2 linked regions of the Drosophila melanogaster genome follow. Changing the gene in region 1 together with any one later gene gives a genetic interaction. Each region holds a gene or a part of one and is shown on either strand. Other genes may lie near its edges. The genes, in order: ND-20 and Vap33.

The links.
Region 2: of ND-20 (region 1) and Vap33, changing one suppresses a phenotype caused by changing the other (phenotypic suppression), as found in Drosophila melanogaster (one study listed by BioGRID).

Annotation. Positions count from the first base shown.
Region 1 is NC_004354.4:15,984,904-15,988,592, forward strand, and holds ND-20 (NADH dehydrogenase (ubiquinone) 20 kDa subunit), read right to left. Parts: upstream 1,906-3,689; 5' UTR 1,835-1,905; exon of another isoform or gene 1,781-1,834; 5' UTR 1,774-1,780; coding exon 1,108-1,773; 3' UTR 570-1,107; downstream 1-569. Other genes in the region: Slc25A46a (solute carrier family 25 member 46a), read left to right, coding at 1-462; eIF5 (eukaryotic translation initiation factor 5), read right to left, coding at 2,382-3,086, 3,165-3,641.
Region 2 is NC_004354.4:3,946,817-3,954,978, reverse strand, and holds the start of Vap33 (VAMP-associated protein 33kDa), read right to left. Parts: upstream 6,005-8,162; 5' UTR 5,607-6,004; intron 5,499-5,606; 5' UTR 5,330-5,498; coding exon 5,266-5,329; intron 3,565-5,265; coding exon 3,412-3,564; intron 3,344-3,411; coding exon 3,234-3,343; intron 3,151-3,233; coding exon 2,938-3,150; intron 2,872-2,937; coding exon 2,758-2,871; intron 2,213-2,757; coding exon 2,057-2,212; 3' UTR 1-2,056. Other genes in the region: Gem4c (gemin 4c), read right to left, coding at 6,876-7,330, 7,390-8,162.

The sequences.
Region 1 (3,689 bases):
GAACAACAGAATGCGGACATCTATGCCAGCCTTATTGCTATCATAACCACTGAGGTCATGTTCTTCCCGTTCGAAACGATTCTACACCGTCTGCAATTGCAGGGAACACGAACTATAATCGACAACCTCGACAATGGCTACGATGTCGTACCCATTCTAACAAACTATCAAGGAGTCGTCGATTGCTATCAGACAACGATTGTCTCCGAGGGAGTTAGTGGCCTCTACAAGGGCTTTGGAGCCATGATCCTGCAGTTTGCGGCACACGTGGCCGTCATCAAATTGACCAAATGGGTTGTGAATCAAATCGTAGAGGTCATCTCCAACCGACCACCACAGCGAATAGTGAATTACTATAATCTGGATGAGAATGCTTGCAACTCCAGGTCCACGACCTTGTCGCCAAGCCTTTCCAGTACCGAAATGGGGGAGATTAGTCTTGGGCAGAATTCACAAGACTAGTTAATGGCTAGTCAAATTATATTGCATATGTAAATTATACAAATATTTATTTCTTTTTGTATTTTTCGTTGGGTTTATTGGGACGTTAGCATGAATAATTGTATTTTAAGGGTTTGCTTACTCTGCAGTTGCGTTAAAAAAAAATCTGCCAATTAAAAAATATAACTATTTTAAACACTTTAAACTGAGCTTATATTCTTGCACTTTGTGTCCCGAAAACGTCAGGACCTTGAAATGAATACAGAAAAATTAAGTAAAAACAGCAGATTGTCCTGTGGTTGGTGCGATCGTTTCTATGACAACTAAATGATATGGTTGTGTATACAATTCACGATAAAAAAAAGAGGAAGGAGCCGTTAACTTCACGCTCATTTTGAAGGGAAACAAAACTTTTTTCGAATTCACGATTTTCATTACGACCGTTGGCAAACACACGTACGATTCAAGCTGACGTTTGGATACAGAAGCACAGCTTGAATGTTTGTATTTATATCGAAAGGCATTTATTTGCAATATCCTCGTGATCCAACAAACAATGTATACAACAACTGAACGTTAACAGAACGATATTTAATATGATTTCTGTTCGCAAAATCGTATGTCGTTTGATGTTTCACATTTTAAATATAAGTTCCGATCGTTGCCTTACTTCCTATACCACATCTGGAGCGTCTTCATCCGCTTAACCTTCTTCTGCAGCTGCAAAACGCCGTACATGAGCGCCTCGGCGGTTGGCGGACAACCGGGTACGTATATGTCGACGGGGATTATCCTATCGCAGCCACGGACGACGGAGTACGAGTAATGGTAGTAGCCGCCGCCGTTGGCACAGCTGCCCATGGAGATGACCCAACGTGGCTCGGGCATTTGGTCGTAGACCTTTCGCAGGGCCGGTGCCATTTTGTTGGTCAGCGTGCCAGCGACGATGATGACATCGGCCTGACGTGGAGATGCACGGAACACAACACCATATCGATCCATGTCGTAACGCGGAGCAGCGATGTGCATCATTTCGACGGCACAGCAGGCCAAACCGAAAGTCAGTGGCCAGATCGAGCCCTTGCGACCCCAGTTGAGCAGATCGTCCAGTCTGGCCAGTGACCACTCCGCAACGGAGGACTGTTTGGTGCCGAACGGAGAGTAGCCCTTCTTGGGCAGATTTTGGGCCACTTCGGCAACTGGAAGCGTTTGTTGTTGGCGCACCAGGGCCAAATTCAGAGCGGGCAGCGCCGAAATCGACGCATTCGGTGTCTGAGTCGCCTTTTGGAGAGCCCGGGACAGGGTCGATGACATCATCGCCGAACGCAGCATGTTGATCCTGCTAAAGTAAATCTGTAGTTATACTAGGACTGGGCATTTAAACATTTAATACCTATTTATGTAACTTCAACTTATTTCGATTTATAGGGGATGCGTATGATGTGACCGCCGCCGAACTACTAACTAAAATACCAAATGCACCAGGAAAATATACTATAAAATACGAATTTACTTTAGATATCCTATTCTCACACAAGCACATCACTTGCGGCAGCATGAACTTTATGCCCTTTTCCCACATGAACGCAATGGTTGGCTAAAAAAATCAACTTGCTTGAAGGTCATAGCTTAAGCTGACCAAAAGGCAAGTAAAAAAGTAGTTATTAATGTTTTTGTTTGCTTTATTTTGTAATATGTTGGTGTAATTCTATTGTTACAGCGGCTTGGGAAATGTTATGCAAACAATTGAATGGTAGTAAAGCGACGACTCAAAATACGATTAGCACTCTTAAGAACTAAAGATAAAAAAAACCACATGTTGATTTAACTCGCTAATTTATATTTCAGTTTGAATTGTAGATTATGCTTGCTCGCTTGATTTTCCCCCTTTTAAAATATTACTGGTTGGATTAGGGTAGCTGTTCTCTTTTTGATTCCTTTTAGATATCGTCGATGTTCACGTCGTCCTCGTCATCCTCGTCGCCTGCAACAGCGCGTGGAATTCCGCGTTGGACGACCCGTTGACCGCCACGTTGGCCGGCACTGGAAACGTAGTTATCCTCCTCGGATTCATCGTCCTCCTCCTCCTCACTTTCGGAGGACTCTTCCTCGGCATTCTTCAGCCAGAGAACGAATGGCATAGCTTTCTCGTGTATTTCGGCAGCAATATTTTTCGAGACATGTCGTTTGCTAACCTTCTGTGCCCACTCCAGTATGACGGCCTCATCGAGTATGTCCAGATCATAAAACAATTTGAAGATTCCAGCAACCTTGCTCATCAATATACCCTTATGCAGCTCTACAGTTTGCTCCACTCCACCAATTAGATAGCGCTGTGCTTTTGGATTATTGAGGGTGAAGCGAAGAAGCAAAGGGCGATTCTTCTGCACGTCCTTGATGATGTTTTCAGTGAAAAGCAGCTCGGCGAGAACCAATGGAGCCTTGTTAATAATATCCAAGCGTTCGGCTTCAATCACCAGCTCCTTGTGAGTTTGCACATCATCCAATTGCTTCTTGTCCCGCTTGTCCTTAACCAACTCGTAGAAAATATCAATGCGCTCCTTTTCAGTTTTATCATAGTCATCCGAAATAGTCATACCCTTAGCACCATCAGTCAGATCTTGCAAACGAGCACGAATAGCCTCCTACCGGGGTGGAGTAGTAATATACATATGAATAGCTCTTTAAGCTAATTGCGAGTATATACGGATTAAACAACGTACCTTCGAAACATCGACACTCCATCCCTCATCGTCGTCATCCTTGGCTGTTTTCTCCGGAATAGCTGCGCTAATCTCGGCCTCAGTTTGGCTAGCCTGATTTGTGCCGTTGCCGCCATCTGATTCACCGCCAGAGTTGTTGGCCAAAGAGTTATTGGTCATGGAGCCATCGGCGTTATCGTTCTTCTGCTTCTGTTTCCTCGAGCGTTTGCCCTCGGTTAGCGATGATCCTTGGGCGGCCGGATTCAATGACGGGGGGTTCTTCACAATGAATGTGTTCACTTTATGGTTAACCTTGAGCAGACCATGGAAGCCGCATGCCTTGCAAGACTGCGAAATGGTCTGGTTTTTGGCCGACACAGTTAAATTGGTCTCCGGATTGTCGCACTCGGGGCATAACACAAACTTGCGAATAAAACCATCCAACAAATCCTGCAACTTGTTCACATCATGCGATCCATTCACAACAAAGCGCTCATTCTGAATGAAATTAATAGTGATTAATGGGAGCATAGCTCATGGGTAACA
Region 2 (8,162 bases), about 12 Mb from region 1:
TATTTTTAGTTTATTTTTTCTTTTCTTTTCTGTATTTCTAGTTAAACATTTAAATACGAGTTTTCCACATGCCTATGAAATTACAGCGATCATGCATGTCGGCGAATATATATTCATGTATAAATCTATATACCCTTTTCAATGCTTTGCAAACTATATAAAAAAAGTCGTAACCACGAACAATAGCAATGAAATGTGTTGGGGAAACAATTGTGTGAAACAAGATGCATCGCCAGCAAATAGTAGGCGCTACGAAAGGAACCAAGTGGGTGGGTGGGTGTATCTATGGATCCAAATCTATGGATCCACGGGTGCAGTGTAAACCATGAACAACACGCGTTTGTTTTGCTTCTAGTAAAGGTTTTTTCGTTCCTTTTTTTTTTTGTGTTTTCTTTTTTAGAAAATTGATTGATTTTTTTTTTGCACTTATTAGATCGTATATATATCGGCGTGTCGGATACAGTTGATGGATTTTCTCAATTTCGGTGCCATTTGGGCTGGAAATCGTTCAATTCGACCTTGGCAAACAACACAAATTACATAAAGGTTTGCTTACAGAAATTTAGTATATTCATATAATATATATATATCTATATATATATATATATATATAGCGTTCATTGAGTGGTGTGTATGTGTGTAGTAATGTAACCACTGAAGTGACTAAAACGAAACTTAGTAAATGCAAATGCCAACCAAAACAATAATGATTATATATAAATATGTATATATAGAGCCGCCGTCCGCGTTCGATCTCGTTTCGGGATTTAGAGAGGGACAGACGGTTGAGAATGAGAAAGAGTGATGGGACGAGGGGTGAGGTGAAGCAACTTTTCTTTCTTAGAGAGCGTCGGCCTTGCAGAGCATTGTTGTTTTTATTTTTTTATTTTTTGAAGCTTTTCATTGATTGGTTTTCCATACAAGTGTTTCTTCTTAATTTTTGTTGCATTTTGCTAAATGTTTTTTTCTTGACATTTGCGTTTCTGTTTTCGATTTAAATTTTACATCTAGGTCTATGTGGCTGCAAAAAATTAATTAACAAAAAGAAAGCAAATAATAAAAAAAATTGATAAAACTGAAGTTTATTCTCGCACTCAAGTAACAAATTGGTTTTTCTTTTAGTTTCGTCGAGAAGGTATGATTAATGATAATTTTTGTTATTCTTTGAAATACTTGACTTTTCCCGTTTGCAAATGCATCGAAAAATTATTAAAACGAATTGTGAGGCATTTTAAACTTAAGTTCTTACAAATTAATAATAGCGAAAAAATGCAATCGAAAATCTGAGCAAATATACGTATGGATCTTAGCGGATTTTAAAGAGTTCTTGAGAGATGTTCCCCCTTGCGAAAATACGATTTTACGTCTCTTCTATTTTTCCCTTTCTCTGCGGTTTTTTTTTTGTTTTTTTTTTTTTTTTTTGTTTTGTTTAGCCCAGGTACCAAAAGTAATCATTCGTTATGTTTTCTTTTTTTTAAGTATTGATTATGATGTGAGGGATTTCATAGGGCCCAAATGTTCTTATTACTCAAAGTCCGGTTGCGACTAATTCAAGCGAGATCTTGCAAAAACTTAAATATTTTTGGTTGAAATACACGAAGCGTCAATACAGCTTAAAATTGTTTCGAATGCTTTACACTTAAGTCTCGTTAAGATTCGTATTAAAAACAAGAACTGCCAATCTGTCTTTGAGCAATATGTTGGAACCAAACAATATTTCTCACATCATAATCCATACTATTCTGAGCGATACTTGTTTCGCTAACAAACAATGATTATTTTTGATTTTCAATACAACCGTTTAAATGTATACGGTCCCCGGTTTAGTCAGCTTTACATTCGTCTCTGTGGTTTGTTTCTTCTGCCAATTAAATTTATTTTAATGCTCCTGCTGCTGCTGTTCTTCTTTCGTTGTTGTTGCTATTGTTAGTTGCTGCTGCTGCTGCTGCTTTTGCTTTTGTTGTTGCTGTTGCTGTATGATGGTGTTGCCGCTGTTCTTGCTGTTACTGTTGCTGCACGTTGCATGTAGCATGTTGCTGGCGTTCGTTTATGGCATTCAGAGAAAGAATTTGCCCAGCAGGAGGCTAACGATGGCCGCAGCAATGGCAACTGCAATGTAAAAGACCGGAATCTGCTTCTCAGCCAGGACTGGGGCATAGGGCTCATTCACCTGTTTGACGGCCGGCGAGCTCCGGAAACGTGTGATTTGATCCTGCAAATGGTTGAGAAATTTATTAATTTACACAAATGGATAGATTGATCCTTATCTGGCTACTTACAAAATATTTATCCTATGTATTCTTTTTTGAACTCGAAAACAAATCAGCACCCCAACTGAACCGAGTTATTGTATAATAACAATAATTATATATCAAGCGCGCAGAAAACTCCCAGGCACAACAGATCATTATTTGCATTATTCTTGGAATTACCAAATTGGATTTACTTATATTTAAAGGCTGATTATTTTTAGTACACCACAGCAACCTAATGCAAGAAATTGTCACTAATAGTGTCATTAATTTTCATATCAATTTTGAGATCATCGCGTACAGCCTATAATTTGAAAAAAGTCAGAGGCCTGCTTCTCCTTATGGCTGAATCGACTCATTCTAACCGATTGCGAACAAAACTGAATATTCAATATTGAAGACATCTTGATAATACTGCTGAGGAACTCCCTTAGGTAGCAGTAACTTCGACATTGCACTACTCAAAACACAGAAAAAATGAAGAGTCATAATGGAATTGGCTTACCTTCAAGTGAAGATTCTCTCTTCGCAATTCAATGTTGCATTCACGCAGCGCTTTGATCTCTCCGGACAGCAAGTCCAGACTCTCAGACGTTTCGAGCAAATTGGATGGCTTAAACTGGGTAATATGTTAGCGTTATTTATTATGCCATTAGAAAGGTTTTGCCTGTTCGACTTAACATACCTTATCCTCGCTGGAGAGCTTCGGCTTGCTCTCGAGCGCCTCAGCGCTGGCTGAGCTAGTATTGGCACCCGCGCTTCCGCCTCCGGCAGCTCCGGTTCCGCCGCCAACGGCACCACCACCGCTGGTGTTCTCAGCATTTGCCTCAGCGGTGGGCATCTCGAAAACGCACTTCAGTTTGGCGTCCATCAGCTGCTCGGGCTCCAGATCCTTCCACTGCGGGTGTAGAATAGGACGTTGATTAGAAAAGTAATATACACACTATGCCATCATTAAGAGTCCTATTCGTTTCCCCTTACCAATTTATTTAAATCGCTTAGATCAGCATCCATGGGTGCCAGGACGCTCTGCACCATGAACTTGTGCTTGTTCTTCTCCTGCTGATCGTAGACGAATGGCTGAAGGCAGACTATGTACATGCCGAGGATAAGTAACGATATTATTAGAGTAACGATATACCATTTGAGAAATACTCACTCTCCACCTGGGTTGATCGAAAGGGAATTATCTTGCCGATGTTTGGACGTACGCAGTAGCGTTTCGGGGCGGTTGTCTTGATCTTGAAGACCAGAGGCAGAGCCGAGTTGTTGCGCAGAGTCATGATTGTGACAACGGGTCGGGTGAAGGGACCTGTAAGGCGAGAATATATCAAAATGAGTGTTAGCTTAAGGAACACATCTTATTAATTTCATGGCACATATAACGCATATGTACATACATATTTCCCTATTGTTAATATTTTCTGATTTCCGATTTTCTCCTCATGATATGATCTTTAAATAAAACAGGCATTATCGCCCTTTCATATTGAATGCACCCGATTAGTCACACTATTTTGGCGATAGCCCCACCCAACCCAAAAGCGCCCAACACTCGCACTTTCCACATTTCTCTACTTTCCCGATTTTCCCCACTCTTCCTGATTTTTGTGTAGCGTCACGCTCGTTGCGTCATTGGTCGAGGCAAGTTCAAATTAATTGAATTAATATCAAAACAAAATCGAGAACGGGCACAAAAACCGAATAGTAAACTGAATATCGAGGAATACCCTGCATATTGAAGTTGGATTCACTACCAAAATGTGTAACTTATTTTGAAACTATTATGAAATTACAAAAATTACTTCAAATTATTTCAGATTTAATGTGATTAGTAAACGCTAGTATTACTCCGAATATTACTTTTAAGCCGACTAGAAATCGATCGCGGGGTCTTACATTCTAAAATAGTTTTTTTGGTCACATTTTTAACAGGCATTGGTGAGAAAATCAAAACAAACCAGGAAATGGGCAAAAACTAACGAAAGGAATTTTTTTTGTTTGTTAGCATGGCGTGTGCGTGTTTTTCTTTGGTGTAAGTGTGTGTCAAGGAAATTTCATTAGACAAAGTCGCGTCATGCATGTGTTTTTCACCCCTCGCCGACCGCACTATTCACGATCTAACGGGAAACGTGGGCGAGGGGGTTGCAAAAGAATGGGGCTAAGGCTCACTCACACATACACAGATATTAAAATATTTGCGCACAATGGAAGCGATAGCAAAATACTTGAAAAGTTAACTCAATTTTTTTCAATAAGACAAAATACAAATGGTGAATGGTTATTGGTGTATTATTCTAGATCGCAATCAACAATGATTGGTCATTTAAGTAGACATTTCGTTCTGCAATTGAGACTGTGATAAAATTTCGCGAAAAAAATTAAATGTTTATGCACTGGAAAATGCAGCTTGGCAACAGGAGTTCAATAACAATGCGATGACAACCGTGCCACTTGTCGCACCCACTGTGCGAGCTCTTTGCATTGTTTTTGTCACTGCTGCTGTTGCTTTTTGGCCAAAATTCAAGGAGCCAAAAGACAAGAAAAAATTAAAATGGCCCATGACAAGTTTTTGCGTATAAAAATATAATGCTAGCCAAAAACGCGAAACGAGTGAGCAAGAGGGAGAGGGATGGCGAGTGCAAGTGAGAAAGAGAGCGACGCCAGCTGCCGGCATCAAAAAATAAAATACATTAAAGAGCTGAAGCAAAAAAAAAAAAAAGAAAAAAAACGGAAAGAAGCAGAGCGATGATACACGTAGACCCCGAAAAGAACAACAATAAAAGGTGTCGTATGTAAAGGAAGAACAAAAACAACGGAAATTATTGATAGCCAATCGAGCGAGATGGCAATAGAAAGCGTAGAGGGAGGGAGATTAAATGTGCGCGTGAGAGAGAGAAAAAGTGAAACTTGCAGTTTGCTCTTTGCAAGAAATGGGAGGTGAATCGGCTTTTTTGGTCGATATGCAGCGACCTTTCCGCAAAAACGCGAAAATAATGTAAAATAAACTTACCCACAAAACGCAACTCATGTTCTGGTTCAATGGTCAACGGAAGATCAAAGAGTGATTTGCTCATTGTGGCGGCTGGCTTTTGTTGTTGTTGTTGCTGCTGCTCCTGGTGTTGTTCTTGTCGTTGTTGCTGCCGAGAATTTCACTCTCTCCGCTTTTCGCCTCTTATCGTTTTAATTTTATTTTTTGTGCGTCCTGTTTTTGCCCAGCTATTTGTTGTTCTTGCTGGCTGTTTGCTGTTAAGAAAATGCACACAAAATTATATTAAAATGCAGACGCACGCATAGATACGAGACACAGGCACACAACTAAATTAAAAGAGGGATTTCAAATTTTTCGCTTACGTTTGCGTTTTTTAGCCAAATATATCAAGAAAACTGCTGCTGTTTTTATGCCTGTTTCGTTTTACTTTACTCGTCTCTCTTTTTTTCTTTCGTTTTTCGTTCGTTTCGCTCTCACAGGCGAAATATCGGTAAATTTATGCGACCACACACACACGCATGGACAAAAAAAAAGCAAGAGCCAGAGAAACTCACGCACGCACGGGCTTTTTGCAGAAAATTTCGGGAAAAAAACACAACGATCAACGTGCGACTTCTTCACCGACTTTAGGTCGCTTTTCTGTCGATATTTTCGATTTCAGTGGTTTACCACGCTTCGGTTTCTTCGCAAACTTCAGTTGAAAACGCAAAATGTAAAAAAGCCATATATTCTGTCAGCTAGTGATGTGAAAAAAATATCGATGCATCGGGTATCGATATTTTTAGTTTAGCGACTTTTCGATACTTGTCAAGCATTGGTCGTTAAATTACCTTGTAAAATATATATAGTGTTTTTTAAGACAAGATATTTTTTCTATTTTTTTTTATTTAGGTAATTTGAAAATGTTATTAATAACAATTTGCACCAAAATTTTCCTTTCCCTGAATAATGCCATTCAGCTTTTGACAGAATATAAATTAGTTAAATTTATAACATAACGAGTACATGAAATTTAAAAATGTATTAAAATAAATTTTCCTAGTTTTAAGTTACAATTTTGCAACAGGAAGCAAAGCAGTCGAAGTAATACATAAAAATACGAATAAAAATAAGAACATGCAAAATTACAATAATTTTAAGCTTGCCAAAGCATTTATTTAATAGAACACAAATTTGTATTTGATGGTAGTATTACATATTTTATGTAAATATAGTCGGCCTTAAGGACACACAAAGTTGTAAAATAACCTGATATCAAATTATTCTGATGTTCAATCATAGCGTTTTGTATATTATATATATAATACATAATAATACGAAAAAAAAGAACATGCAAAATTTTATTAATTTTCAGCTGAATAACTTCACTTGCTTGCCAAAGTATTTTTAGTAAGACAAAAAATTTGCATGGTAGTGGTACATTTGTTATGTGCATACAGTCGTCCTTTTAAAGGACATACAAAGTTGTAAAATAATCTGATATCAAATTATTCTGATGTTCAATCCTAGCGTTATGAATATTATATATGTTTTTAGTCATATAGAGATCTGACTGCCTAAGAATTAAAGTGTTGGACAAGCGGCGGAGTTTCGATTTGGCTTAAGAAAATTACACTTCTAACAGCATCTCCTTAACACTTGGCCGCCTGCTGTTCCTGGATATTTATGCCGAATCGCACAGCGAAGGCTTTACTAGCTAGCTTCATAATCTCGTTGCGAATGGAGAATGGAGCCTTGGCCACAACGGCCATCAAATGATCCCAATGCTGGCGCTTCGTGATGGTCTTATTGTGTTTGGCGTGGCTCCGGAAGGCGATCAAATATTCTCGAAATAGGAATCTAAAGGCCATGAAAGCGGACTCGCTGTTCACCTTGACCACTGCATCGCTAAGATCGCCCATAACAGCACAATCGGCCCTTTTTTTAAGGAGCTTTTTGAAGAGATCGTTAGCCTCCTGTGCACTGGACTGAGTTAGCAATTTGAGAAAGGAGCGTGTGTCCTTTAAGGTGTCTTCTTTAAGGTAGATGAGCCAAAAGCCCTTGTGCTTTAAACTGTTCACTTGGTTCAAGATCCTCTGGCGGCATTCTGTGAAAGAGCAATAATTAGTAGGCTTTCGTCTTGGACTTACATTTATAAGAGCGCACCAGTGCCTAGGAATGTCAGATGAGACAGACCGTCCTGCCAATACCACACCGCCAGTTCTAAATTATCCACCCGGAAATCTTCAAAGGTGGCCAAGTCCCAGCGTAGGGCATCAATGGTTTTCATGACATGCGAGATCAGCTTCCAGTGTTTCAAACGCCACTCTGGCAAGCTGGCATTCAGATATGTGTAGTGCTTGGCCACCTTGACAGCTGGTGCATCGTCTCCGTTCTCCAATTTCGGGTGCTCCTTTTCGAGTGCATTTAACTCTGCAGTGCCTCGGGTGATTAGATTGCTTTCACCCAGACTAATCTGCTTGAGCAGTTTCAAGATTAACTGCAAGCTGGGCAAGTTCATGGGCTCTATAAACTTGGCCAAACCGTAGGCACACGCGTCTAGGAACCTATTTTGCGCCTGCCTAAGCTCATCCTCTCCGTAGGGACACCGTCCGTCTTTCAAACTAACGCACAGTTGTCGCGCTGACGTGTAGAGACCGTTGAGGATCTGTCGGTGGCCATATAGGTAGAGTGTAAACTGCAAGGCATACGGCTTTTGAAGTAGTTGCTCGTTCACCAAGATGTTATCGGCACAGGCGGAAATATGAAAAGCAGCATGCTTGGGACAAGACTGAGCTATGTGCCAGAATAGCTTCGAGAAGCGAGTATGCGTCACGCCCAAGTGGGAGAAATCAATCCAGGTCTGTCTTGCGTTCTCAAAGCACAGTACTAGAAATTTGGTTATCGGGAAGCGCTTATTATAATCCAATTGATTAAAG